Linked DNA regions of Mus musculus. The protein of the gene in region 1 purifies or fractionates together with the protein of each later gene. This does not show direct contact. Links are inferred from orthologs where the notes say so. Each region holds a gene or a part of one and is shown in the gene's direction. Other genes may lie near its edges.

Evidence for each region.
Region 2: the proteins of Ddx6 (region 1) and Lsm14a purify together in Homo sapiens (affinity purification with mass spectrometry; 4 studies listed by BioGRID and IntAct, with this or other methods). This does not show direct contact. The link is inferred for Mus musculus from reciprocal best matches to the Homo sapiens genes DDX6 and LSM14A.
Region 3: the proteins of Ddx6 (region 1) and Mcrip1 purify together in Homo sapiens (affinity purification with mass spectrometry; 3 studies listed by BioGRID and IntAct, with this or other methods). This does not show direct contact. The link is inferred for Mus musculus from reciprocal best matches to the Homo sapiens genes DDX6 and MCRIP1.
Region 4: the proteins of Ddx6 (region 1) and Ago2 purify together in Homo sapiens (affinity purification with western blotting; 5 studies listed by BioGRID and IntAct, with this or other methods). This does not show direct contact. The link is inferred for Mus musculus from reciprocal best matches to the Homo sapiens genes DDX6 and AGO2.
Region 5: the proteins of Ddx6 (region 1) and Atxn2 purify together in Homo sapiens (affinity purification with mass spectrometry; 6 studies listed by BioGRID and IntAct, counting the BioPlex papers as one, with this or other methods). This does not show direct contact. The link is inferred for Mus musculus from reciprocal best matches to the Homo sapiens genes DDX6 and ATXN2.
Region 6: the proteins of Ddx6 (region 1) and Edc4 purify together in Homo sapiens (affinity purification with mass spectrometry; 4 studies listed by BioGRID and IntAct, counting the BioPlex papers as one, with this or other methods). This does not show direct contact. The link is inferred for Mus musculus from reciprocal best matches to the Homo sapiens genes DDX6 and EDC4.
Region 7: the proteins of Ddx6 (region 1) and Nufip2 purify together in Homo sapiens (affinity purification with mass spectrometry; 6 studies listed by BioGRID and IntAct, counting the BioPlex papers as one, with this or other methods). This does not show direct contact. The link is inferred for Mus musculus from reciprocal best matches to the Homo sapiens genes DDX6 and NUFIP2.

Annotation. Positions count from the first base shown.
Region 1 is NC_000075.6:44,628,714-44,632,819, forward strand, and holds part of Ddx6 (probable ATP-dependent RNA helicase DDX6), read left to right. Parts: coding exon 1-56; intron 57-1,310; coding exon 1,311-1,427; intron 1,428-2,669; coding exon 2,670-2,733; intron 2,734-4,106.
Region 2 is NC_000073.6:34,351,435-34,355,540, reverse strand, and holds part of Lsm14a (protein LSM14 homolog A), read left to right. Parts: intron 1-1,693; coding exon 1,694-1,876; intron 1,877-1,979; coding exon 1,980-2,151; intron 2,152-4,023; coding exon 4,024-4,106. UniProt on the Homo sapiens protein: Essential for formation of P-bodies, cytoplasmic structures that provide storage sites for translationally inactive mRNAs and protect them from degradation. Acts as a repressor of mRNA translation. May play a role in mitotic spindle assembly.
Region 3 is NC_000077.6:120,542,069-120,544,844, reverse strand, and holds the end of Mcrip1 (mapk-regulated corepressor-interacting protein 1), read left to right. Parts: intron 1-45; coding exon 46-164; intron 165-839; coding exon 840-941; intron 942-1,096; coding exon 1,097-1,161; 3' UTR 1,162-1,957; downstream 1,958-2,776. UniProt on the Homo sapiens protein: The phosphorylation status of MCRIP1 functions as a molecular switch to regulate epithelial-mesenchymal transition. Unphosphorylated MCRIP1 binds to and inhibits the transcriptional corepressor CTBP(s).
Region 4 is NC_000081.6:73,181,705-73,186,499, reverse strand, and holds the start of Ago2 (protein argonaute-2), read left to right. Parts: upstream 1-1,552; 5' UTR 1,553-1,717; coding exon 1,718-1,739; intron 1,740-4,795.
Region 5 is NC_000071.6:121,794,941-121,799,046, forward strand, and holds part of Atxn2 (ataxin-2), read left to right. Parts: coding exon 1-308; intron 309-1,432; coding exon 1,433-1,496; intron 1,497-2,282; coding exon 2,283-2,435; intron 2,436-2,784; coding exon 2,785-2,851; intron 2,852-4,106. UniProt on the Homo sapiens protein: Involved in EGFR trafficking, acting as negative regulator of endocytic EGFR internalization at the plasma membrane.
Region 6 is NC_000074.6:105,886,972-105,891,077, forward strand, and holds part of Edc4 (enhancer of mRNA-decapping protein 4), read left to right. Parts: coding exon 1-66; intron 67-146; coding exon 147-242; intron 243-329; coding exon 330-432; intron 433-515; coding exon of another isoform or gene 516-534; coding exon 535-715; intron 716-810; coding exon 811-883; intron 884-982; coding exon 983-1,074; intron 1,075-1,146; coding exon of another isoform or gene 1,147-1,149; coding exon 1,150-1,337; intron 1,338-1,416; coding exon 1,417-1,547; intron 1,548-1,624; coding exon of another isoform or gene 1,625-1,627; coding exon 1,628-1,784; intron 1,785-2,132; coding exon 2,133-2,569; intron 2,570-2,653; coding exon 2,654-2,758; intron 2,759-2,847; coding exon 2,848-3,000; intron 3,001-3,089; coding exon 3,090-3,126; intron 3,127-3,268; coding exon 3,269-3,446; intron 3,447-3,550; coding exon 3,551-3,706; intron 3,707-3,793; coding exon 3,794-3,909; intron 3,910-3,996; coding exon 3,997-4,106. UniProt on the Homo sapiens protein: In the process of mRNA degradation, seems to play a role in mRNA decapping. Component of a complex containing DCP2 and DCP1A which functions in decapping of ARE-containing mRNAs. Promotes complex formation between DCP1A and DCP2.
Region 7 is NC_000077.6:77,688,685-77,692,790, forward strand, and holds part of Nufip2 (nuclear fragile X mental retardation-interacting protein 2), read left to right. Parts: intron 1-2,857; coding exon 2,858-4,106. UniProt on the Homo sapiens protein: Binds RNA.

The DNA of each region.
Region 1 (4,106 bases):
ACGCATATGTAACGGAGCGCCAAAAAGTGCACTGCCTCAATACACTTTTCTCCAGGGTAAGTAGTGGGCTTTTGTGCTGAGTCCTGTCCTTCACTAATTCCTAGCAAGTTGGACAATTAGATCATTTTCCCTTTCCTTTCCTTTCCTTTCCTTTCCTTTCCTTTCCTTTCCTTTCCTTTCCTTTCCTTTCCTTTCCTTTCCTTTCCATTCCTCTTCTCTTTTTTTCTTTCTTTCTTTCTCTTTCTTTCTTTCTTTCTTTCTTTCTCTTTCTCTCTCTCTCTCTCTTTCTCTCTTTTTAATTTTATTTTTGACTTTATTTTCACTGTAAAAAATCTTACTGTTTTGTAAAAAGTAGCTTTAATTGGCTTACAGTTGAAACTGATTGACACAGGTGCTTTATATTGTTAAATAATTTACTGTAATTACAGTTCATCCTTTGTGAATACTAATTGCTAAAATTTATTTGTGACCCCCAAATTAGTACTGAAGGTTTTGGTTATTCTTAGACATATACATTGTGGACTTAAAAAAAAAAATGATCCCAGCTAAGGTCCAAGAAGAGGACAGACATTCTGTCTTCTTGTTTTACTTATAAATGCTACAATTGTTTTTCAAATTTTGGTGCTGTTCATCATTCATTCCAAAATGACGGCCTCGCTGCTGCCGACGTGCTTACCTGTGTTCTGAAGCACAGGGGGACTGATGTGTACTACACAGGGAAAACATGTACTGGGTAAACCTCCTGCAGGCACGGGTTATATTGGTTAGGACTATAGACATACTAAATAAGACATGCTCAAAGAAAACACATAAATTGGCATGTTTACCAATTTATAAAATGTCACCAGAGGCTCACAAGTACTTGTCATTTTCTCTAGAAACAGTGTTGTTTTAACTTGTTTGTTTTCTTTATTTTAATGAGTCTGTGTCTGTGTGGGGTTGTACGCATATGAGTGCAGTTTCTGGAAGCATCCAGAAAAGGGTGTTAGAGCGCCCGAAGGAGAGTTACAGGTAGTTGGGGCCCACACTGTGTGAACTGAACTGAACTTGGGTCTTGTTGAATAACAGTGTGTGCTATTCACTGCAGAGCCATCTCTGTAGCCTCAAAGCAGTGGTTCTTATTTGCTGAGTCAGTGTTAGCAGCGGTGTATTGTAGGACATTACTGTGTTGTCTCTGCAAGTTAGGTGGCCCTTATGAGATAATCTTCTCTAGGTCGACAAATTTTCATCTGAAAGCTTGGCTAGATATTTTCATGATTGGATAAACAGATGCTTCTGTCTTTCTCATCTTTCTCATCTTCTGTGCTTAGCTTCAGATAAACCAGTCCATCATTTTCTGCAACTCCTCCCAGAGAGTCGAGCTACTCGCCAAGAAGATTTCTCAGCTGGGCTACTCTTGCTTTTATATCCATGCTAAAATGAGGCAGGTAAGGATAATTTCGAGAACTTGCATAGATTTAATAAAGAAATATTTTCCTAAGTATTTCTTATATTTTCTTTTGTTATAATGTTGTATAAATGCCTTGTGTGTGAGAGTAAACTGTTGTCTTAAGGTAGGTACTGCTGTATTAGTGGTAGAGCAGTGTTCCAGAAAAAGAACAAATGAACGGACTATTTAGTAGACAAAGAGACCTTCACTTAAACCAATAGGTTTAAAAAGCAGTCCAGAAATGTCAGATCTTGGGGCTGGAGAGATGGCTCAGTGGTTAAGAGCACTGACTGTTCTTCAGAAGGTCCTGAGTTCAAATCCCAGCAACCACATGGTGGCTCACAACCATCTGTAGTGAGATCTGACGCCCTCTTCTGGTGTGTCTAAAGACAGCTACGGTGTACTTAGACATTATTATTAATAATAATAGTAATAATAATAATAAATCTTTAAAAAAAAGAAATGTCAGATTGTCCATGAAGTCCTAGCATTTAAAGTAAGTGAAAAGCTCAGAGTCATTATCTGTTCCATACTAAGTTTGAAATCAGCCTGAGTGACATGAAATCCTGTGGGGAGGGAAGGGCACAGGAGACATTCTTTTGGGGGGAATTTCTAAATTTGTTCTGTTTAGTGCAATAACTTTATTACATAGCTCCATGTACCCATTAGACTAGGTAAAAGCAAATACAATTGAAAGGTTTGTTACTTAGTCAAATCCCTGAGGCTGGTGACTCCATTATTGGAGAATACCAGTGCAATTTTTTTTTTTTTTTTTTTTTTTTTTTTTTTTTACAGAATGCACTGCTCTAGATTTTAATATACAGTAACTCCTCCTTACAAAGGAGAGTTCTGAGATCCCATATCGGATACCTAAAATCATAGACAGTACCAGATTGTATGTGCATGCTTGCTATGATGCAGTTTATACATTGGATATGGTAAAACGTTCACTAGGATAATAAAATAGAATAAATATGACACTATATTTGTCATAAATGTTACGTGACTATGATCGCAGCATGGCTTATTATGCCTGTCCTTTTTGATAGAATGCTTGTATGATGGAATGAAGTGTATCATACAGACATTGAGTGATACAGCTCTAGACTGCTACAGAAGCATAGGTAGTTGTGTAAACAAATTTGGGGTTGAAGAACTGATTGGGTAAGAGAAACCATGATGAAAATTTTGAGTTGTCTATAAATTTTACTCAGTTTTTATATATCCCCCTACCCTCCAGGAACATCGAAATCGTGTCTTTCATGATTTCCGAAATGGCTTATGCCGCAATCTTGTTTGCACTGGTAAGTGTTTTTGTATTTCTTGGACCTACTGTTTTCTTAATTGGCTGGTTGGTTTTTTTGTTGTTGTTGTTGTTGGTTTTTTTGTCACATAGTGAAACCTATGTGACAGCTCCTTACACCCTGCTGCCACTTTGACAGCTTCTGAAGACAGGGGTGCCTGCTGTTTAGTTCCTAGGTTGAGAGCAGGTGCTATTCAGTGCCTGACCTTGGGTTCCTCCTAGTGCTCATGCTGCACACGTGGCTCTAAATTAGGTTTTGCATTTATGTGCTTTCTGAACAGTTCTAACATACAAGGTGAGCAAACACAAAATAAACTTTACTCGAAATTACATTTTAGAAGTTGTGTCTATTTGATTTTTTTTTTTCCCAGAATCACATTATTCTATACCGTAAGCCAAGATTTTCTAATTTTTGGTTGTTCTATTACTACAGAAAAATAAGCCTGGGTAGGGAGGGGGAGACACAAATTTAGCTCAGAAACTAATAGAATGGTGCCTTCGCACCTATGTACTTAGAATTTAATCTTACTATTAGTGTGAGAAGAAGAATCATTTGAGGAAGTAGAAGGACTTGGAGTTTGAACTATAATGTATATATTGGTAAATTGCTCATCTTTATTTTTCATGTGAATTTTCACATACGCATGTACCTATACATTCAGATAAAATTGTATTTAAGAAGTTTTGGTTGGCTGGTTGGTTTTGTTTGTTTTTGAGACAGGATACTACTATATAGCTCTTACTGGCCTGGAAATTGGATATGTAGAGCAGACTGGTCTTAAGCTCACTTCTTTTGTTAGCTGGCCTTGGCCGCTTAAGTGCTGAGATTAGAGGTGTGCAGCACCACACCTGACACAATTATATACATAATATATATATACATTAAAAGATTTATTTTAATTTGTGTCTGTGTCTATTCTGTGTCTACCACGCTTGCACAACAGGTGCCTGCGGAGGCCAGAAGAGGGCATTGTATCCCCTGGAACTGGAGTTCTCAGGCAGTTGTGAGCCTGTTGATATGGGTGCTGGAGATGAACGCACATCTTCTGGAAAGAGCAGCAAGTGCTCATGTCCAAGGAGCCATCTCTTTAGCCACCTATTTTAAAATATAGTCAGGATTTTTGGGAAAATGCACATAAACAAAACACTTGTTACTGCTACCAGATATTAAATTTGGTTATTCCTAGTAATCAGGAAGTAACTGTAAAAATAACTTTATGGAGGCAGTCATATTATTGAGTGGTTAGCTTTTTAAAGTTGTGTTTAAATATTTAGCTGTGTATAGATATTTTTTTTTTGGACATTTGGGAAACCTATAAAATAGCTTACTAGTGAAAGTAAAGTTGTTAGTCAAATTGAATATTCATAAGAAAA
Region 2 (4,106 bases), on another chromosome or scaffold:
CACAGAGAAACCCTGTCTCGAAAAGACAAAAAACAAACAAAAATACCTGCTTACCTAGATATGTCTGGACGTGCTGCTAGGTGGGTTTATCCTCAAACTCAGGCAGTTTGCCATCCTCACCAAACAATGAGCACAAGCCTGTTACTCTGTAGTCACTTCTGTTTTTTTTGTCTGTATATTACAAAATTCATATAACTATTCAATTTGTACTTCATGAAATTAATCCTGCTTTGTTTTCTGCATGTTTTTAAGTTAAAGTCACACCAAGAACTACTCCAGATTCTGGGTTATTTTACTCTTAGACACACATGTGTTGGATATGTGGGGTCACAAGTTTTCACTATGAATTTTTCTACTTTATGCTGTTTATTATATCTCAGATGATTGGCTGGAATCCTGTGGTGGTGTTATAGAAAGAGAACACATAGATTCAGGAACCTGAATACATGGAACCAGGTAGAGGGAAAAACTGAAAGCAGGAAGTTCTTAGAGCCAGTAAGGACTGGTGCTTCTCTGTTGTTTTATCTGAATTGTAAGAAACACCTCCCTACCTTGCTGTCTGTGCTGATTAGTGTTCACTTACATTTTTATTGTACATCTTGTTTCCTGTTACCCATTCCACAAAGAACCTGGCACTTGGGTTTGAGGGAATAGGGCAGAAAGAAGAACAGAGCTTTCTAGAGCCTGGGTAAATATAGTGGAGAAGGCCTCAAATCTGTTGATTATACATCTATTTGTTGTGCTCTTCATAAAAACAACTATAAAAGTTATATTAAAGTTACATAAAATCTATGCTGTTTTTCATGTGCATACTAACTTTTAGCAACTTAATTCTTTTTGTTCTCTGTGTGTGTGTGTGTGTGTATGTGTGTGTGTGTGTGTGTGTGTGTGTGTGTTTATTTATGCGTATGGGCATATGTGTGCTATATTGCACCTGTAGAGGTTAGAAGATTTGCAGGAGTGCTTTGTTTTGTTTTTAATTTGTGTATATGTGCCAATGTGCACACTATCAATATGGAGGTCAGTGGACAGCTGTGGAAGTCAGTTCTCTTTCCACCATATGGGTCCGAGAGATTATACTGGGATTATCAGGCTTGACCGTAGCAACTTTATCCGCTAAGCAATCTTCTTGGGGATTGTTGTTTTAAGATTTTTTTTTCTTTAAAAAAAATGCATGTTTTGCCTGCATATTTGTATGCGTAGAGCAAGTGCCTGGTTTTAGCAGAGTCAGAAGAAGGCATCATTCACTCCCTAGAACTGGAGTTTTGAATGTGAGCCACCATGTGAGTGCTGAGAATTAAACCCAGGTTCTCTGCAAGAACAGCCGATGTCCTTAATCACAAACCCTCTCTCTAACCCACCCCCATTTCTTTTTTTCTTTTTTCTTTTTTCTTTTTTTTTTTTACAGGATTTCTCTGTGTAGCTCTGGCTGTCCTGGAACTCACTTTGTAGACCAGGCTGGCCTCGAACTCAGAAATCCGCCTGCCTCTGCCTCTCGAGTGCTGGGATTAGAGGCGTGCGCCACCACCGCTCGGCTCCATCCCCATTTCTTATTTGTATAAAAATACATCTATACTGTACAAATAGAGTTTAAACATTTATGTTATAGATCATTTCATACAAAGACCACAGTGTTATTCTAAACGAGCTAATACATACTGAATGTTATTATAAATATTCTTTATTAATATAGTTCCTGGAGTTCCTTCTGCTCCAAGAAGAGGACGTGGGGGTCATCGAGGTGGCAGGGGAAGATTTGGTATCCGTCGAGATGGTCCAATGAAATTTGAGAAAGACTTTGACTTTGAAAGTGCAAATGCACAATTTAACAAGGAGGAAATTGACAGAGAGTTTCATAATAAACTTAAACTGAAAGGTAAATTTTATTTTTCTACTCAAAAATGATTAACTTGATCTTTGAGTTAAAGATGGTTTACAACTTAGATGTGTAAAGTCTTAACTTGCATGTTTTTCCTTAGAAGATAAACTTGAGAAACAAGAGAAACCTGTAAACGGTGAAGACAAAGGAGACTCAGGAGTCGACACTCAGAACAGTGAAGGGAATGCTGATGAGGAAGATCCCCTTGGGCCCAACTGCTACTATGACAAGACCAAGTCCTTCTTTGACAACATCTCTTGTGATGATAATAGGTACTGGGTTCTGTAAGATTTATTCAGTTATATTTTATGTATATTGTTTTAGTGTTTTGTCTGCATGTTTGTTCATGTACCCGTGCATATAGTGCCCACAGGGCCAGAAAAGGTCATCCAGACCCCTTGGAATTGAAGGCGGAGATGGTTGTGAGCAGCCATGTGGGAGCTTGAGATTTAACCTAGATCCTCTGGAAGAGCCAGGGCTCTTAACTATTGAGCCATCTCTCCAGGCCTCACAGTTGTTGTTGTTGTTGTGTGTGTGTATGTGTTTGTTTTTGTTTCCTAAAAAAATTTACTATTTAAAAGTTTTTGATTCTTTCTGTGTCTGTTTGTGTGCATGCATTCTATGGAGTAGGTGTGAAAGTCAGAGGACAACCTAGAGAAATCTGTTTTCTCCTCCTACCATGTAGTTTTTCCAGGGATGAAACCCAGAAATTTGCTTGAGTCTTCATCCACAGAGCCATTTTACCAGCCCAAAAGTTGTAAATTTAAAAAAAGTGAAAGCTAGGGATGTAGTTAATGGAGGACTACTTGCCTAGCATATGCAAGGCCCTGGGTTTTATCCTAGTGACACAAAAAAGAAAAAGAATCATAGGCTTTAACCTGTAATCCCAGCACTTGAGTAAGATGGAGTCAGGAGGACAGGGGTTTAGGTTATACCTAGGGCTAGCCTAGGTTATGAGAGATCCTGTCCTGAAAAAAAAAAACAACAACAAAAAACACACTATTGTTTAAAGATGTAGTCACACCTAGATATTAGTTAAACAGCATTTGTGTAACATAAACCTTTTCGTTATCTGTCTATATTATATTCAAATGAAACCAGACCCAAGTGGAAAATACTTCTTCAGAATGGAATCATACAGTAAAACTCTGACATATTACAGTTAAAGAAGATCCAGAAGCCGGGCGTGGTGGTACACGCCTTTAATCCCAGCACTCAGGAGGCAGAGGCAGGCGGATTTCTGAGTTTGAGGCCAGCCTGTTCTACAAAGTGAGTTCCAGGACAACCAGGACTATACAGAGAAAAACCAAAAAAAGAAAAAGAAAAAAAAAAAAAAGAAGAAGATCCAGAAAATTTCTAATTGTCAAAAAGAAATGACTTAGCACATTAAGCTAAGAGCTGCAGAAGTCTGCTGCCCGCATCACATTGCCTTTGTCCTGACTGTAGCTCAGTGCCCCCTGGAGGCAACTGTTGGCTTCAGTGTAAATATGGACAGGGAGGCCTGAGTGCTAGTAGGCTGGATGATTGGTGGAACAGTGTAGGCACTTGCTGGGTTAATTTCATCAGGTCCAGAGATTGAGCTAGGATACTAGGACCTCCATCTCTACCAAGGCTTTCCCTACCAGCTCTGTCCTCTCTTCTGTGGCTTGAGTGAAATCAATCACAAGTCCTTTGGGTCTTAATTATCTTCATATGAAAGCCTTTAGCATCTTTTTTTCTTTTTCTTTTTTTTTTTTTTTGTTTTGTTTTGTTTTGTTTTTGTTTTTTCGAGACAGGGTTTTTTTCTCTGTGTAGCCCTGGCTGTCCTGGAACTCACTCTGTAGACCAGGCTGGCCTCAAACTCAGAAACCTGCTTGCCTCTGCCTCCCAAGTCCTGGGATTAAAGGCGTGCGCCACCACTGCCCAGCTCTTTAGCATCTATCAATTGTATTTATAAGAAACAAGCCTCTGTGTCATGTGAAAGCATACTGCAGGAGTGTACAGAGCTTGCATGCCATTAGAGCTGGGAGAGTCTAGATTGCCTGCTCTTATTTCTTCAATTGAGCTCGAGAAATCAATTAAATGTGTCAGGAATTGGGGCTGCATAGATTTGCTGAAAGATGCACTTTTTGGGTTGATGTGCTAATGTCCCTCTTACATAACAGAGAAAGGAGACCAACTTGGGCTGAAGAAAGAAGGTTAAATGCTGAAACTTTTGGCATCCCGCTTCGTCCAAACCGTGGCCGTG
Region 3 (2,776 bases), on another chromosome or scaffold:
CCAGCTCTCCTGTGACTCCCTCCTCACACATGGCCCTTTCCCCAGCTCTCCTGTCTCCAGAGTTGTCTACAACGGCAAGAGGAATAGCAGTCCCCGCTCTCCCACCAACAGCAGTGAGATTTTCACACCGGCACACGAAGAGAATGTGCGCTTCATTTATGAAGGTTGGTGCGCTCGGTGTCTGTGCTCTACTGCCTGCCGTGCGTGAATGCCCCACCACCCTTCCACTCTTTAGACCCTCAGTGAGGAGGGGACCATACTTCAGTGGCCTTAAACTCTAGAACCAGCAAGACTGGTGATAGAGGGACATTGGGGTGACAACGCAAGAAGAAGGCATGGGGAGTGGGTGGAAGCCCAGAAGAGGCAGGATCTGGGAGATGGTCTTCAGGCCTGGAGGCTTCCTGGGGGAGGAGGTAGCTATGAACATAGTTTCACTAAAGTGGACAGAGGTGATACAGTTAGAATTGAACAAATGTGCTGGGAGGTAGGGTGGGTAAGAGAGGTGGGAACGGGTGGCACTATTGCACAGAAGGGACTGGCCTCTGAGCAAGGGCAGGAGGAGCTGACGCAGGAGGGAGGACAGTTTGGGGCTCTCCAAGACACCCTCAGGTAGCCAAGTATGGTCAGAAGGCAGAGGCAAGTGGATCTCTGAGAATTCAACGTCTCAGACAAGACTGACAAACAGAGAAACCCTGTCTCCAAAACCAAAACCAAACCAAAACAAGCTCTCATCTAATAGAGGGAGACAGGTAGGAGCAGGGGCTACATGACCTAGCACGAGACCAGAATGCTCTGTTGGCTTGAGTACTGCTGAGCGCTGAACCTGTTGTCTGCTGCAGCCTGGCAGGGTGTTGAGCGAGACCTGCGCAGCCAGCTGTCCAGTGGTGAGCGGTGCCTAGTGGAGGAGTATGTGGAGAAAGTCCCCAACCCCAGCCTGAAGAGTGAGTAGGGCCGACCTGGAGGAGCTGACCAGGCTTCTGCTGAATGCCTGCACTGTGTCCTTTCCAAGGCACCTGGGTTTGGGAGCCTCTAGTAGTGGGAAGCGGATGGGGGGGGGGGTCCTCTTCCCAGCACCAACCAGACTGTCCACCAACAGCCTTCAAGCCCATCGACCTGAGTGACCTGAAGCGCCGGAACACGCAGGATGCCAAGAAGTCCTAGAGCTCCTGGCGCCCTCCCCTGGCCTCCAGAAGCTCAGGTGCACTTGATGGTGGTTTCCTGTGTTCCTGTGGCGCTGCTCCTGGGGGGAAGAGTGTGCTCTAGCAGGCCGTGATCCCAGAGCCAGCAGGATTGATGACCAGGGCCCTTCCTTTCCTCTCCAGGGTCTCAAGTTGCCCCTGTCACTGGGGGAACAGGGGCCTGGCTGTAACCGCCCCTGTCCTTTTCCCCTGGCCAGCTGCATCTTGGGTAGCACCTGGCCCGACCTATCTAGCCCTCTCTGCTGTTACCTGCCATGCCTTGCCCCTCTCCTTCCTGGCTACTTAAGGTCAGGAAGGAAAAAGGGGACCTCTGTTTCTTCGGCTGTTGGAACCTTGAAATGACCAGAAAGTAGGACATGTGCAGTCCCACCTGCATCCAGTGTGGCTCTCTCCATGGAGACTTGCTCTTCTTCTGCCCTGGACATGTGGGGAGCTCCCGCTTCCACCCCCACTGTCCATCCTGACCTTTCCTTGCCCCACTTTCAGAGTCGAATCAGCTCTGAGCCTAGGACAGTGCTGGCTCTCTGAGGGCAACCAGGCCTTGTGTCCTGGTACCTGTGACACTGTTGTGGTCACAGCAGTGCCCTTGGACAGGGCATTAAGGCTGACCCTGAAGGAGTGGTGCTGCCAGGCCTGTCCTGGCTTTCTGGGGTGTGCTGGGAGGATTACCAAGGCCCCCTTTTTTTGTGCCCTCTTGAATCCAAGTGTCTGTAGCTTTGGAGACTGAGGGTCTGTGAATAAAGGCGGTGGCACTGGAAGTGGCTCCATGGCAGTCTGTCAGGTCCTACCCTGAAGCCCGCAGAGCTGCCTTGCAGGTCTGTAAGCCCCTGGCCGCCAGAGTAGTCTGGTGGGTAGTAAAGTTACATTGCCCACGTGGAGCTCTGGAAGGCATTAGCACTCTTCAGCCATGCTATGGACTCTGAGGAGCACTGTTGGCTCCTTGGCTGCCCAGGCCAGGGCTGCTGGACCCAAGAGAGACCTGGTCGCATTTGACCTTCAATCATGGAAACAGCCCTGGAATGCTCCTGTTCCTGAGAAGATGCCAAAATGGAATTTATTTCAGGAACATGCTTTCCCAGAAGAGTATTCCGGGGCTCAAATGGCCCCCAGAGGCATCTCCAGGGTGTGGGCCGGGCAAGGCAAGTCTCCCCAGGGAGGCGCAGGCAAGACAGGGCAGTGAGAAATAGCTGTTCTAGGTGCCAAGCCACCCCCCCGCCCCCCATGTCTCAGCATTGTTAGTTCCCTGGGGCCTGTTAGGCTGTTTGAAGACACTCGGTGTCCTAAGCTGTGGGTTACCCAGTCAACTCCCCATTGTCAGGACTGGAAGGGGCGTGGACAGCTTAGGGGCTACCAGGACGTGGTGAGTGGTCACACTGCCCAGAATACCAGTGCATCCATCCACTGAGGGAGCAAGTAAGGTCCTAACCTGAGGACGTGCTGCCTCCTAGTGGTGCTGATTTCATCCCAGCTGTCCTAGAACACAGGGGGCTTCCTGACCCCTCCGGGAGTAGTGAGCCTACATTGGCTGAGCTGGTGCCACACACATGACCGTCAGCAACATTGTCATGCCCCAACCT
Region 4 (4,795 bases), on another chromosome or scaffold:
GAGGGAGCGCGCACGGTGTCCATCTTCGCTGTGATCCCTGTGATGAGCAGCAAGGCCCACAGTACCCAGGCTTCCCTGTGCTCAGAAACACGTGTGTAATCATGCGCAGAGATATATATATATTTTTGGTGGCGTTGAACCCAGGGCTTCTTGATGCCTGGCAATTTACCTACTTCATGTTCCCCAAAACGACTTCATGACTTTGGGGGTAGGATGTCAGTGCTGGGAGCAGACCCAACGTCAGTGCTCCACTGCTGAGTGAAGTCTAACACCGCCTCCCGCCGAACACCACCTCCCCCCCCCCCCCACCTCACCGCATCCCCATTAGTTCTGTGTTACCCTGACTGGTTCTGAGCCAAGATGACTCCTGAGTTCAGCAAATCCTGTCTCCATCCCTAAAGTACCAAAGTATTGGTACCGCAAGGGCTAGGTATGATTGATTACCCATTTGTGTCAATCACTTGGGAGAGGGGTGGGGGCAAGTCTTTCTTCTATGTATCCTAGACTAGATTTACGGTTGCCATCCGCCTCCCTCGACTTCTGGCTAGCTGGAATGGCAGCCCTGCAATGCTGTGTCTAGTTTCCTCCTCCTCCTCCTTTATTGGAAGGAGAGCTGCTTTTCTTGTTCCTGGGACTATCTTTGAGCACTACACAGAATATGGAGCCTACCCCGATCCTGGGGTCCCTGCAGTAGGACCCTGTTTGTCTTTGGCCTGGGTTCTCAGTATGGGCTTTGAAGACATTGCAAAGCCTGCAGGGCGAGGCAGGAGCTGACACACCCGCCTCTTCTATAGAAAGGTTCCAGAGGCAGCTGGACAGGACTAGGAGCACACGCCAGCAACAAGTGAAGAAGGGACATACGTGCACAGAGCATGCTGGTCTAGCAGGCCTCAGAGCAGAACTTGGGGGCTCGGAGGCCAGAAAGCGGGAAGCCCCGACCAGATCTGCTCCCTGACAGCTGATAAAATTTAATCCTGAACTTGCTGGGCTTCCTTGGTGCTTTGCTAGGATTATCTAGGTTGTGGAGTCGCGCCGGGAGGTGGCGGTGTGGTCACGCGCACGGGTCTGGCCGCGTCCAAGTTCAAGCTCTGGGTGGGGAGCTAGCTTCCCGTCGCCGTTTCGTTAATAACTTAAAGAGCCAGGCCGAGGTGCAGGGGCGGGTGCGTGGCGGGACGCGGCCGAGGCTCTGCCACTCGGCGCGGGAGGACTCCGACTCTGGTCGCAGTGCCGGGCTGGCCGCGCCCGGAAACCAGACGTCGCCTCGCTCGGCCGCAGGGAAGGTCTCGGCTCGCGTGCCCTGGGTCGCTTCTGGGGTCCCTCATTCAGGGCAAGCACGCGGGGGGCCGCCACAGCGAGTCCCCCCCCCCCCATCCCGCCGGCGCGCGCCGCCTCCAGCCTCCTCCCCTGCCCCCCTCTCTCCCTGCCACCTTCCCTCCTCCCCGCCTCCTCCCTCCCCGCTGTCCCCTCCTTCCCTCCCTCCCCGCCGTCCCCTCCCTCGTCGTCCCTCTCGCCCCTCCTCCTCCCCTCCCTCCTCCCGCTCCCCTCCCCCTCCGCTCCCGCCGCCTCCGCCCGCCGCCCCGGCCGCGTCGGGTAAACCTGTTCTGCGAGGCGGCCGCGCCGGGGCGGATCGAGCGGCCGGCGGCTCCTCGCGGCTCGCGGCGTCGGGGCCCGTGGAGCGCGCGGCCGGCCCTCGGCCGCGGCCCTCGGCAACGCCACCATGTACTCGGGAGCCGGCCCCGGTGAGTCCGCGCGGCGCCCGGCACTCGTGCCGCGGCGGTTGGCGGTTGGCGGGCGGGGCAGGCGAGGGCGGCGGGGCCTGTGGGGCCGCGGCGTAGCCTCGGGGCGGCCGGGCAGGGCCTCGGGGCCGGGAGGCCCAGTGCACCCGAGCAGCGCCACCGGGACGTGTGCGGGGGCCCAGGCTCGGCCTGCAACGGGTCTCCGTCCTCCCGCAGCGCTCCTCCCGCCGTTCCCGAGCGCATAGCTGTGGGGCCCAGCACGGCGGGCCTGGGGCGGGGAGCTGGACGGGTCGGGAACCGAACCACGGGGCCCCGGGACCGCGATCGGTCGCTTGGACGCAGTTTCACGCCGGGCAGCCGCCCTCCCCATTCAAGTGCTAATCGCCCTGCGATTTCCTAGCGGAGCGGGTGGCCGCCGTGGCACCCCTTTCCCACCAGCGTGCCCGTTTCTCTGGAAAAGTTCCAGAAAACTTAAAAACACGGACGCATTTCCCCACCCCGCTCCTGGAGCCGAGCGGAGGGCGGTTTACTCGCGGGGTTGAGAAAACAAGTGTTGGGGAGGCTTTTTCGCCTTCTCCCGCCAGGCACGTGGCTCCATTTCCCGGCTGCCCCGCCGCTTGCTCGGGCTCAGCCTGCACCCCTTTGTCCGCCAGGCTGTACTTGGCGCCCGCGGGCCCTCCCTGCTGCCCACCTGACCTAGTGGTTCGGCCCTGGGGCCTCCCCAGACTTCTTCACTGTGGGGTCTGGAAGCCTCCCAGATCCTCCCGGGTTCCCTATGGTGCCTGCTCCGGAGCCTAGTGCGCCTCCGCTCCTGATGTCACAGGGCTCCTCGAATGCCCACTGACCAACTTGTAAATGCGTTAAAAGGCTTCCCAACGATTTGAAGACCCTTTTAACCTTGCGCTTGGGAGGTGCCCGGGTCCTAGGGACAGATGTTGGGGCCTGGAGGTCCCTGCGAAATGGCCAGCGGCAGCCTCCTGCCAGATTGGGAACCCCCCCCCCACCCCCACCCCCCAGCTCAGCGCTGTGGAGGAACCCAGCAAATCTTAGCTCCAAATTTGTACGTTTTCCCAATGTGTCAATTTCTAGTGACTTCCTCGGGGACGAGGCCAGGCTTTCGTCAATTTCGCGTGTTGATTGATCCCTTCAGCTTGCCACAGTGGGTCTTTCTTGAAGACGCTGGACAGTGGAGGCTCAGAGAGGTTTAACATCCGGGAGCCAGCAAGCATTAGGGCAACCTGTTTGAGCACTCCCCTCTAGAAGTGGTTCCCAGTCCCTTTGACCTTGACCCGCTGTTGGAAGTACTGGTTTGGTGTGGATTAGACCAGTGAGCTCTTTGCTAGGGTGGAAGTAAGAGCCTACTGTGTGTTCTGCAAGGGGAGCTTTGTTGCCTTTAAAAAAAAGAGAGAATGCGGTAGCAACCGGTTCATTTTGGTCACTGGCAGCTTTGAAGATGGCTGCTGCGTGGGCCTCCGCATTGTGGCCTAAGAGGGAGACAGTCCCCTCTAACCAAGAAGGCCTTGGGTGAGAAAAGAGATGCCTGTAGGATAATTCTTGGCTAATGGCAGACTGGGAAGGAACTCAAGTTTCAGGTGGGCCAGTGTCTGTAATTGCAAGCCTGGAGTGCAGCTCCATTTTATTGTACATATCAAGGCTTTTAATTCTGTTTACAAGGAATCCCCCCGCCCCCATCTCTTCAAAGAGACTCCATCATATTTCCAAGTTTAGGAGAATGGAAGACCATTGGATCTGAATTATAGAAAAGCGACAGACTTTTGCTGTTTCTGAGCTTGATGGGAAGTAAATAGTAAATTAACTTTAAAAATAGAATTCACCGTGGGTTCTTATTGTGTCTGTCACAAATACTGTTAGATGTGTGAGGTTAGTAACATTGGGGGCCAAGGTTTAGAACCTCATAGGGTTTTTTTCTTTTCCTTCCTGTGCTATTGGGGTTGGTTAGTGGTTTCGGGAAGGTAAATTAACTACCCATACTGAAACTTCCTAGATAGTGGGTTCTGGGTGGGGTCCCCCCCACCCAAGGATCTTAAACTGTCTGGGAGGAGCTTTGCCTCCTGCAAGGCGGTGCTCCTGCATTCTAGAGCCCAGGAGTATTTGCTACAAAATAACCTCTGTGACTCTGGAAACTGGGTTGAGAGTTGCCAATCAGGACTGAGTCTTTGATCATTGCTGTGGCCTCCGGTGGCAGCGGTTAGCCCTGCCCCCACCCTCATTCTCCCCAATTCACAGTTTTGTCTGAGGGTACCACTGCAGCCTGGCGGCCTGTGTGTGCCGCAGGGAAAGCTCTGCCAACAGCTGGAACGCACAGCCGGTGGCTGAGCACTTGTGGGAAATCTTTCCCCCACCCTCCAGTAGCTTGTGGGGGAATTTAAATAAGTGTTCAAGAAAAAAGATGTAAAAGCTTTGACTTACACATTCTGAAGAAGCAACATTTTGTAACTTTTGAGTTTCTCTGTCAACACCATTGGTTTTATTCTTTACAAGTAAAGAGGCTGGGGCTGCCAGAATGATAAAAATGTTTCTCTTCTTCCCCCCCCCCACTTTTAAAAAATTTTATGAACTGTTATCACACAATTTAAAAAAAAGTTTCTACCGTGGACTAATTTTACAAACCTGAAAGCAAGGTGTCAAAGGATTTTGTTTCTCCTGCGCTTGTCAATGTCCCGGTCTTGTCAGCTGTCCCTTTCCCCTTTACATCCTTCGACTCATTCCAGAGGACATGTTTGTGTGCGTAGAATACAGGGAATCGCGCCGCCCCTCCCTCCCTGGGCTATAAACAGGCTGGTCTCAAACTCATCTTCCTGTCTCTGCTTCCTGAGTCCTGGGATCACAGGTCACTGTGGTGGGCTAGCGAAGGTACGTTGTGGGCACCACCCACTGCCATTGGTATACTAGTTCTCTTGGCTTCAGAAACATGATTGCAATTGGCTTGCTTTTTAGATCTATTTGTATTTATGTATGTTAGTGTTTGCATGTATGTATGTATGTATGTATGTATGTATGTATGTGTACCACATGTGTACATTGCCCTAAAGGTCAGA
Region 5 (4,106 bases), on another chromosome or scaffold:
CAGCCAAGCTCTACATCTGAATCTATGGATCAACTACTAAGCAAAAATAGAGAAGGAGAAAAGTCACGAGATTTGATTAAAGATAAAACGGAAGCAAGTGCTAAGGATAGTTTCATTGACAGCAGCAGCAGCAGCAGCAACTGTACCAGTGGCAGCAGCAAGACCAACAGCCCTAGCATCTCCCCTTCCATGCTTAGTAATGCAGAGCACAAGAGGGGGCCTGAGGTCACATCCCAAGGGGTGCAGACTTCCAGCCCAGCCTGCAAACAAGAGAAGGATGACAGAGAAGAGAAGAAAGACACAACAGAGTGAGTAACCTGGGTCTCAGCACATGCTCTCTCCGAGTAACCTGCTTTAAGGGGTTTTCTGTTCCATAGTAACTGTTACATAGAGCTGGGGTTAGAAATCTGAGCTGAATCTAGTCATTGGGTTCTTAGCATTCTTCCCATTCTGACTTGTTTGCAGCTGTGGGGGTAAGAAAAGCTACTTCTATGGAGATAAGAGTTTAAATTTGAATGCCCTGTCTCGGGGTTCTGGTTCTGCCTAACCCTGCAGTCTGCAAGGACTATTTGCTGCCCCAGTTGAGGAAATGTTTAGTTGATAAGCACATCTTTATAAACCTTATTTCTGTGCATCTGGCATTTAAAAGCACTTAAATAGATAAACTAGTGGGTTAGCCTCAGACATAATCACCACTCCCTTTTTGTGTTCTGGATAACAAAAAAAAAAACTAATTGTACTTGAACTATTTATTCTTGATTTGCAGAAAAATAATTTTACTAGAGCAATGGTAAACCCAAGGCATGTGATTAAAACATTTTGACACATTTAAAATTGCTGCGTATGCTACAGGTGGTGGAAGGGCTTTGTTAACACAGCACTTGGGCATCTGAGGCTGTTGATCCTAAGTTTGAGGCCAGCCTGGATCCATTGCAAGGCCTAATCTTTAAAAAAAAAAAAAAATTAGAACTACTGTGAACTCATTAAGCATTGGTGTTTTATCTGCCTGTCTGTCTGTACACCACACACTTGCTGTACCTTCAGAGGCCAAAAGAGGGTGTCAGATGCCTGAAACTGTAGTTATAGATAGATGGATTAATAAACCCAGTCCTATGGAGTGGCAGCTGTTTAGCTGTCACTTAACCTCATTAGGCACCCTTTTAAGGGGCTGCGACTTACCAGTTGAAATATTCGGTGATTGCTTTTGAGGGATGTGGTTTCTTTGGTTTTCATTTGTTCTCGTATGGTTAGTTTCTTCATCAGATTAAGCAGCAGAGGTGTGTGTTTCAGTAAAGGAGACTGAGACATGGAGAGTTACTCACATCTGCTCTATGTCAGCAATCCTCTGAAAGCTGACGAGTGTGGCGCAGTTGAGAAAGCCGCAGCCCCATGATGTTTCACTGGCCTGCTTGTTGTTTTCTTTCTTTCTTAGGCAGGTTAGGAAATCGACATTGAATCCCAATGCAAAGGAGTTCAACCCTCGTTCTTTCTCTCAGGTAAGCGCTAGCCTTTTACAGCTGGTCTGAAGAGACGTCACTGCGCTCTTCATGGCTTTCTCCTGAGCTCCCATCTGACTGAGCCCAGTTGTAGGACCCTGAGACAGCCTGGCCTCCAGGCTTGTGGGATGTCCCCAAGCTTGTCAGTCCTGCTGTGCCGCTGTGAGGGACAGCTCAGTGTAAGCTCACAACGACTGAGGCTGTCAGGCCAAAGAAGCCCACTCACTAACTACACAAGAGAGTCCATTTCCTCGGGAAGGCATAGGAGAACATGCCTGTATTCTTAGCAAACAGGAGACCGGGGCAAAAGGGTCATGATTTTGTGGTCAGTTTGGGCCACATAGTGAGATCCCCACCCCAAAACACAAAAATGAAAAGAAAAAAATGGATAGACCTTTTCTGGTTCCTTGTAAAATTATTACAATTTTTATATCTTTTTTTCATTGATAAATATTTTAGCTTGATTAGATATGATACAGTGTTGATACCAAATCTGTGTTTATGCCAGCCCTCTAACACTGAGAAATGTCTGCAGCCTAAGTTTTCCCTTTTTTAACCCCTGGAAACTGAATCAACTTCTTACATGCTAGCCTCTGGATGTTTTGTTTGCCTGTTTGTTTGTTTGTTTGTTTTGCTTTGCTTTATCTTTAGAATAAAAAAATGCTAGTTAAAAACAAATAGGCAGAACAATCAGGGAAGCTGCTTTGAATATTGTTTTCATAGATGCTTTTCATCTTGACAGAGTTGATGTTGAATTCTGTTTTTGTTGTTGTTGTTGTTTTGTAGCCAAAGCCTTCTACTACCCCAACGTCACCTCGGCCTCAAGCACAACCCAGCCCATCTATGGTGGGTCATCAGCAGCCAGCTCCAGTGTACACTCAGCCTGTGTGCTTCGCACCCAATATGATGTATCCCGTCCCAGTGAGCCCGGGCGTACAAGTAAGTTCCATGGGTTACAATTTGCTGGACACCATAGCTTGCATTTAGCACAAGTGTCCTAGGTGGGCACTAAGTGGGACACCTGATAGCAAGTAGTGTTAAGAGTGGGCAGTGGGTAGGGGTGGTGTATTGTATCATTAGCATGTGGATCTAAGTTTTAGGATTAATTTTCAGAAAAAAATGACTTACATTTACTATAGGCCAGAGTTGTTCCTTTTAGTTGTGGGTATTAATTTGAATAGCTCACAGGGAATCAAGAAAACACTGGCCAGATCACATTAAAAGACAGTGATAGAATGAATATATTGTTACCATATGAATCTAATGATGTGTTTTCAATTCCCTCAAGCCTTTATACCCAATACCTATGACGCCCATGCCTGTGAACCAAGCCAAGACATATAGAGCAGGTAAAGGTGAGAATAACCCTGCCTGTGTTTGCTTGTGTCTGCATGCTGCATGAGTTTAGCACCTGTGTGCAATGAATAGTTGGCTTCAGCTTGAATTCACAGGGTATGTGTTCACTTGTGATGGCCAACGTGAGTATTCAAGTGATCACATAGTAATCATGTGAGAGAAAAAAATATAAATAAACTTTGTATGTGGTGTGTGGGTATGTGCATGTGTGCACTCAGTATACATGGAGGTTAAAAGAACACTGTAGGAGTTCCTCCTGGTGGGTTCTAGGATCAACCTCAGGTCATCAGATTTGGCCACAAATACCTTTACCTGATGAGCCATCTTGCCAACCCAATAAATGTCCATCCCCATCCCAGTCACCTACACCTTTACCACCCACACTCCACCCTACCCTACCCCCACACAGAGTCTCTCTCTCTCTTACCTTGTAGCCTTGACTAGCTTGGAACTTACTTTATAGACCAGACTTTTGTGGAATTCCTATAAATCTTCCTGCCCCCCCAAGTGCTGGCACTAAAGGTGTGCCCACTACACTCGGCCTTCTTTTTAAAGATGCATTTTGAGGCTGGAGAATTGGATCATTGGTTAAGAGTGCATGCTGCTCTTGCAGAGGACCCAGGCTTGATATCCAGCTCTCACGTGGTGCCTCACGACTTATCTGTAACTAACTCCAGTCCCAGGGAATCCAGTGCCCTCTTCTGGACTCCATGCATACCAGGCATACACACATGTATCAATATACATGCAGGCAAAACACTCATACACATATAAATATCTGTATTTTTTTTCTATATATGAACATTTTGCTAGCGTGTTTGTACTTGTACTGTATGGACACACGGAAGCCAAAAAAAGGCAGCAGAACCCCTGGGACTGGTATCACAGACAGCTGTGAGCTGCCTTGTACATGCTGGGAACCTGAACTCTGATCCTCTGTAAGAACATCAAGTGCCTTAACTGATAATTCTCTCTAGCCTCTGTTTGGTATTTTTTGCCAAAAGAAATAAATTTTAGAAATTTCAAGCTGAAGTCTAAATTGAAATTTTATCAGAATTTTTTTTTTGTTTGTGGTTTATTTGGAATTGTTTTCAGCCATAGTCTCACTGTGTAACCCTCACTGGTCTGGAACTGGCTATGTAGACCAGGTTAACCTCAAACAGCAATCCTAGAGTTAAAGGCGTGCACCACCACACTGGCCGCTCTTTATTGCTGAGAAGATGCTCCTATAGCCAGGCTGGCCTCATCGGACTT
Region 6 (4,106 bases), on another chromosome or scaffold:
GCCTCATGATGGGAGGCCTCTTTCTTGCCTCCTGTTCTGTGATAACCATAAGAAACAGGATCCTGAGTGAGTGAGCGGGCAGGCAAGTAGGTGGGCTTTTCTGTGGGCTTCTAGCTGGTAACCAGTCAGTGCCTGTTGCTTTTCAGGGTCCCGTTCTGGAGGTTCCTCATAACCGGCGCCGACCAGAATCGAGAGCTGAAGATGTGGTGCACAGTGTCCTGGACCTGCCTGCAAACCATTCGGTAAACTAGAATGAGGGAGGTAGACCGGGGATATAGCTTCTTTGAATTCTCAGTCTTACTTACTTGGTCTGCTTCTTGGCTTCCTAGCTTCTCCCCAGATATCTTCAGCTCAGTGAGTGTGCCTCCCAGCCTCAAAGTTTGTTTGGACCTCTCAGCAGAGTATTTGATTCTTAGTGATGTGCAACGAAAGGTAGGCTGCTATGGTGGTACGCTGGAAAGAGCTGGTGTTGCTGGGCAGGGCAGGGCTATGTGACATAGCCTCCGTTGAGTTAGGAGTGTGTTGCTCATGCAGGTCCTCTATGTGATGGAGCTGCTGCAGAACCAGGACGAGGGCCGCGCGTGCTTTAGTTCTATCTCTGAGTTCCTGCTCACCCACCCTGTGCTGAGCTTTGGCATCCAGGTTGTCAGTCGCTGCCGGCTACGGCACACTGAGGTCCTGCCTGCTGAGGAGGAGAATGACAGTCTGGGGACCGGTGAGTTGCCCAGGGGCAGGATTATACGTTGGTATGTGGGAAGTGTCCAGGCACAGAGCAGGCCAAGGCCTTAATGATCCACACTGTCCTTTCAGAGAGTTCCCATGGAGCTGGAGCCTTGGAATCCGCAGCTGGTGTGCTTATCAAGCTCTTTTGTGTGCACACTAAGTGAGTGTCAGGCAGGCCTGCCATGTCCTGTCTATGTTCCCCCTACCCTATGGCCCTGGCCTTTTTGAGTATTCTCTTCTCCCCTTTGCTGCTCTTTAGGGCACTACAAGATGTGCAGATCCGCTTCCAGCCACAGCTGAACCCTGATGTGGTGGCCCCACTCTCTACCCACACTGCCCACGAGGACTTCAGTGAGTAAGGGAACAGGAGGGAGACAGGTTCCACTGCTGTGGCTTGGAGACCTGACTAGGCAGCTTTCCCAGCAGCATTTGGAGAGTCTCGACCTGAACTAGGCTCCGAGGGGCTAGCTTCAGCTGCTCATGGTTCCCAGCCTGACCTGCGGCGCATTGTGGAACTGCCTGCTCCTGCAGACTTCCTCAGTCTGAGCAGTGAGACCAAGCCCAAGTTGATGACACCTGATGCTTTCATGACACCTACTGCCTCCCTGCAGCAGGTACTTCCTTCCTCAGTGGAGAGAGCTCTGGTAGTGTCCCATTAGCTGACCTTCGTGCTTATTCTCTGGATTTTCCCAGATCTCTGCATCCCCTAGTAGTAGCAGCAGCAGTAGCAGCAGCAGCAGTAGCAGCAGCAGCAGCAGCAGCAGCTCTCTAACAGCTGTGTCTGCTGTGAGCAGCTCCTCAGCCATGGACCCTTCCTTGCCCAGGTAAGATAAAAATCAGAATTGGGTCTAGTGCCAGTCTGAGATGGATTACAATTGCTAATGCTTTACCTTTCTGCCAGTAGACCACCTGAGGAGCTGACCTTGAGCCCCAAGCTGCAGCTAGATGGCAGCCTGACGCTAAACAGCAGCAGCAGCAGCCTGCAGGCAAGCCCTCGAAGCCTCCTTCCGGGCCTGCTCCCAGGCCCAGCTGACAAGTTGATTTCCAAGGGACCTGGTCAGGTGTGTTGGGGGGTGGGGGGTGGGGGGAGGAAGGGAGGAAGGGGAGGGTATGTGTGTGGGGATATGCATGAGTATAAAGTACTGGGTAGCAGCAGGTGTAGGTCGATGGGAAAGATTGGAGCACTCTATTCCTGCATATTTTTCTGCTGACCCTGATGGGCCTTGGAAGTGTGACATTTCCCCAAAGGTTAGAGCGGCCTCTCATTGCCATCTCTCGTGAGCTGTGGCCCTACTTTCCAACTGCATCTCTCTTTCCTGCTACATTATGGCCGTCACTGCAGATCCCAGTGACTTGTTTTTGCGCCCCTTAGCCCCTGTTACTTAAGCCTTTGTCTTTGCCCTTCTCAGGTATCCACTGCTGCCTCTGCACTGTCCTTGGATTTGCAGGAAGTGGAGCCATTAGGGCTACCCCAGGCCTCCCCAAGTCGAACCCGTTCTCCTGATGTGATCTCCTCAGCATCCACTGCCCTGTCCCAGGACATTCCTGAAATCGCATCTGAGGCCCTGTCCCGTGGCTTTGGCTCCTCTGTTCCTGAGGGCCTCATTGAGCCAGACAGCATGGCCTCAGCTGCCTCAGCACTACACCTACTCTCTCCTCGGCCCAGGCAAGGCCCTGAGCTTGGCTCTCAGCTGGGTCTGGATGGAGGCCCTGGAGATGGGGATAGGCATAGTACCCCTTCCCTGCTGGAAGCAGCCCTGACCCAGGAAGTTGCAACCCCTGACAGTCAAGTCTGGCCTACGGCACCTGACATTACTCGTGAGACCTGTAGCACACTGACAGAAAGGTGAGAAGCTTAGAAGGGGAAAATTATGCTTGGGGTGGGAGGGACATTAGGATTAGCCACTCCTGAGCCAGTGTATTTCCTTAGCCCCAGGAATGGCCTCCAGGAAAAGCACAAAAGTCTGGCTTTCCACAGGCCACCTTATCACTTGCTGCAGCAACGTGACAGTCAGGACACAAGTGCTGAGCAAAGGTGAGCGCCACCTGGGTCTATGTGCTCCTCTGTGAAGGAGAGCCATTAGTAGGGGGACAGCAGGTGAGCAGGCTCTTCCCCTTCCACAGTGACCATGATGATGAGGTTGCCAGCCTTGCCTCTGCCTCAGGAGGTTTTGGCAGCAAAATTCCTACTCCACGGCTGCCTTCCAAGGATTGGAAGACGAAGGGATCCCCTCGGACGTCACCTAAGCTCAAGAGAAAAAGCAAGAAGGATGATGGGTAGGAGGATAGGAGGCTTCTGGGACCAGGGCCAGGGGTGGTCTCCTAAGCTGCCTGATGTGACCTGCAATGCTTTTTTGCCTATGTAGGGATTCAGCTGTGGGATCCCGGCTCACAGAGCACCAGGTATGTAAGGGAGGACCTTCTACCTATGGGACCCCATCCCAAGGTGGGGGGGGGACACACTTTGAGCTATTTCTTTTTTGGGGCGGGAGGGGGTGGAGATAGACAGGATAGACATTGTGTAAGTTGTCAGTGCTTCTGGCAGGTGGCAGAGCCCCCTGAAGACTGGCCAGCACTAATTTGGCAGCAGCAAAGAGAGCTGGCAGAGCTATGGCACAACCAAGAAGAACTGCTACAGCGTCTCTGTGCCCAGCTTGAAGGTCTTCAGAGTACTGTCACAGACCATGTAGAGCGTGCCCTGGAGACGCGGCATGAGCAGGAGCGTATCCTTGGGGTAGTGGCACAGCATGGTAGTAAGATGCGGTAGCATTCTTGCCTAGGAAAGGCGTAGGTCCTGTTGTAGGCCTGTTCCTTAGCTCCACCACAGAACGGCGGCTGGAACGGGCACTGGCTGAGGGGCAGCAACGGGGTGGGCAGCTGCAGGAGCAGCTGACACAGCAGCTATCCCAGGCATTGTCTTCAGCTGTGGCTGGGCGGCTAGAGCGCAGCGTAAGGGATGAAATCAAGAAAACGGTTCCTCCATGTGAGTTTTCCATGAGCTTTCTTTCAAGTGGGCTGGGTGAGTGTAGGGCTTTTTCAAACTTCTGGTTCATCCACCTGCCTCTCCTAGGTGTCTCCAGAAGTCTGGAGCCTGTTGCAGGTCAACTAAGCAACTCAGTGGCTACCAAGCTTACAGCTGTGGAAGGCAGCATGAAAGAGAATATCTCTAAGCTACTCAAGTCCAAGGTGATGTAGGATCCAGGTTGGGGGAAGTGTAGCTAGACAGGCCAGGTTGGGCTCAGGCTTTCAACTTGACCCCTCTCTATATTTTAGAACTTAACAGATGCCATTGCCCGAGCAGCTGCAGACACGTTACAGGGACCAATGCAGGCTGCCTACCGGGAAGCCTTCCAGAGTGTGGTACTGCCAGCTTTTGAGAAGAG
Region 7 (4,106 bases), on another chromosome or scaffold:
TGAGGAGGGAACTGGGTTTAGGAAATTTAGAGGTTATTAACAGTTGGGCTCAGCGGCTTTCCCGTATGTGGTTTGGTCGTTGGGTACTGTGCTAAAAAATCTAGAAAATGCTAGGGAAATACTTAACAAGTTTTTATGAACCATTACTTCCAAAGCTATGAGAAACTGGTTTTCTGGATCCAGAAGAGGGCACAGGAGACAAAACATGTTGAGTAATTGCAGTGTCAAATCTAAAAGCTAGATTTATTTGGGACTCAAGTTTTGCTGAGTCCATTTGAAGTGGAGTTCTCATGGCACCCTAAATAATAAAGACACAGGGATTCTTTAATTGCTTTCTGTAATAACTACCATCTTCACATTTTTCTTAAATATCTAAGCTTTAAAAGGTACTTATCATACTTAGTGCATGTCAAGGCCATAGGGAGACAAATATGTAGTTAAGTGAATTTTTGTTTGTTTGTTTGTTTGTTTTCTTAATTTTCAGAGACAGGGCTTCTGTATAGCCCTGGCTGTCCTGGAACTCACTCTGTAGACCAGGCTGGCCTCGAACTCAGAAATCCACCTGCTTCTGCCTCACCTAAGTGCTGGGATTAAAGGCATGTGCCACCACACCCGGCTTGCCCACCTTTTAATATATATATATGTATGTATATATATATATATATATATATATATATATACACATATATATATATATAATTATGATTAATGAGCCAGAAGATACAGGTATTGCTTAACTTATAGTAGATGGTAAAGTAGTTCTTTCCTTGGTTGCCTTTGGTCCAGGCAAATCTATTGATTTGGGTCTCCCTGCCCCTAATTTTTGTTTTTGTTTGAGACAAAATTTCAGGGATACATATCTAGACTTGGCTTAACATTTTGCATTTTTTAAAAGAAAATGTTATAGAAAACAAAACCACATACTATTTTTGTCAGTTTTTAGAAAAATGGTAATGTAATGCTGGGAATATGGAATTAATTTTTTCCTAACTACTAAGGGTTGAGAATTGAACTTGATACATGGCAGTATGTTTGTTTCTGATGCAGGGCAGTGGCTGCACACATCTTTAATTCCAGTATTGGGAGGCAGAGGCAGGCAAAACTCAGTGAGTTCCAGGGTGGCTAGGGGTACACAGAAATCCTATGTCAAACAAACAAAAAATATTGTCTATAGTTGGTTTTTGTGCAACTGTGTTCTTTTCTGGAAGTTCATACAGAAGAAAAGTATTTGTTGTTTGATTATTGTTAGAATTGAGGGTTTCCCAAAGGTCTTTTGAGGTCATAAAACAATTGATAAAACTAATTGCTATTTTATTAGTGAGTAGAAAGCTGTGATTTAACCAGTAAATCACTTTTTAAAAAAGATTTATTTATTTATTCTATGTAAGAACACTGTAGTTGTCTTCTGACAACTCCAAAAGAGGGAGTCAGATCTCATTACAGATGGTTGTGAGCCACCATGTGTTTTCTGGGATTTGAACTCAGGACTTTTGGAAGAGCAGTCAGTGCTCTTAACCGCTGAGCCATCTCTCCAGCCCCCCAGTAAATCACTTCTAATAAGAGATAATTAATTGTAAGCTGATCAGTGGTGGCACACGCCTTTAATCCCAGCACTTGGGAGGCAGAAGCAGGAGGATCTCTGAGCTCAGTGATTTTGCATTCCAGCACAGTCAGGGCTACACAGAAAAACATGATTTTCTTAAAAACAAAACAAAACAAATGTTAGTTGTAAAAAGAAGTCTATGTTCAAGTACTTGACTGCTTTAGGATACTAAATTCATTTCATTGTAGTTTTGTGAGCATGAAAGTGTTGGAAGCAGGTAGGAAATTATGTGTCCTAGACAGATTCCTAGTTCTGTTACTCTGTGACCTGGATGTTAACATTTTCTCTCCTGGTGCTTTAACAACCAAGTAGAAGCTAAAAGTAAGAGAATGAGTCTTTTTTTTTTTTTTTTTTTTCCCCAAGACAGGGTTTCTCTGTGTAGCCCTGGCTGTCCTGGAACTCACTCTGTAGCCCAGGCTGGCTTTGAACTCAGAAATCCACCTGCTTCTGACTCCCAAGTGCTGGGATTAAAGGCGTGCATAAAGAGGCCTGGCTGAGAATGAGTCTTAAGGGTTACTACATATTTTTGTTTCATGTTTTATGGTATGCTGGGTTTTTTGTTTGTTTGTTTGTTTTTAAGGTTTCTGTATTATATGTAAGTACACTGTAGCTATCTTTAGTCATCCCAGAAGAGGAAAAGTCCACAGGTCTTATGGCTTTGTCTGAAATTCATTGGCAACTAGTCACTTTTAGCCCTCAGTATACTCTTTGGGGGTACAGGGAGGTTCAGTACTAGGGATTGAGTTCAGTGGTCATACAAGGGAGACAAAGGCCACAGCCTTATTTTTATTTTCCTTTTACAGGTTATTGTATCTGAAGTAGCACTGATTCTAAATAGTGTGTGAGACAGGGTTCCACCCTGTAGCTCAGGAAGGCTTCAATCATGCAATAATCATCTTGCTTCAGTTTTTCTAGCAGACTCATTGATATAATTCATAAGGTTTATTCTGTTTAGATAATTTAGAGGAGATTATGGCATGCTGCTTGAAAGGTCCTGATCTTTCTAGTTAATTCTGGCTACTGGCCCAGAAGATGGACCTGATATGAGTTGTGTCCTAGGTCTGCCTCTGCCTAGACATTGAACCCTGTATCATAATCTGTAAAAGTTTCTTTACATAAAGTTTCTTTACATAAAGATAAGATACAACAAACCCTACAATACAGCTTAGTATTGGGTTCAGTAAAGTTGTTTGGTCTTAGTACTACTGTGATTTAAATGTATGTGTTTTGTTTGTTTTTGTTTTCCTTCTATAGGCTATGGTGAAATAAACGGTAATGCTGGAGAAAGAGAAATATCTTTAAAGAGCCTCAGTTCTGATGAAGCTACCAACCCTATTTCCAGGGTCCTTAATGGCAACCAGCAAGTTGTAGAAACAAGCCTGAAGCAGACTGTAAAGACCAGCACCTTTGGAAAAGCAGGAATCAAAACCAAGAATTTTATTCAGAAAAACAGTATGGACAAAAAGAATGGGAAGTCTTATGAAAACAAATCTGGAGAGACCCAGGCTGTAGATAAGACCGATACCATAGCAATTCCAAATGGTGTTATAACAAGTAGTTCAGGCTATATTACTAATGGTTATATGAGCAAAGGAGCAGATAATGATGGTAGTGGATCTGAGAGTGGATATACCACTCCTAAAAAAAGGAAAGCTAGGCGCAATAGTGCCAAGGGTTGTGAAAACCTTAATTTAGTGCAGGACAAAATAATGCAAGAGACTAGTGTCCCAGCATTAAAACAGGGACTTGAAACTTTAAAGCCTGACTATAGTGAACAAAAGGGAATGCGAGTAGATGGTTCAAAGCCTATTTGGAAATATGAAACTGGACCTGGAGGAACAAGTCGTGGAAAACCTGCTATGGGTGACGTGCTTCGTAAAAGCTCTGATATTAAACCTGGTTTGAGTAGCAAAAAATTTGATGATCGGCCTAAAGGAAAGCATGCCTCAGCTGCTGCCTCCAAAGAGGACTCATGGACCTTGTTTAAGCCACCCCCAGTTTTTCCAGTGGACAATAGCAGTGCAAAAATAGTTCCTAAAATAAGTTATGCAAGCAAAGTTAAGGAAAACCTCAACAAAACTGTACAGAACTCCTCCGTGTCACCATCTTCATCTTCATCATCATCATCTACTGGGGAAACTCAGACCCAGTCTTCAAGTCGGTTATCCCAGGTCCCGATGTCAGCTCTGAAATCTGTTACTTCTGCCAGTTTTTCTAATGGGCCTGTTTTAGCAGGAACTGATGGAAGTGTGTACCCATCTGGGGGTCAGCCACTGCTAACGACTGCTGCTAATACTTTAACACCCATCTCTACTGGGACTGATTCTGTTCTTCAGGACATGAGTCTGGCTTCAGCAGCCGTTGAACAAATTAAATCTAGCCTTTTTATCTACCCTTCAAATATGCAAACAGTGCTGTTAAGTGCACAAGTAGATCTGCCCTCTCAGACAGATCAGCAAAACCTGGGGGATATCTTCCAGAATCAATGGGGTTTATCATTTAT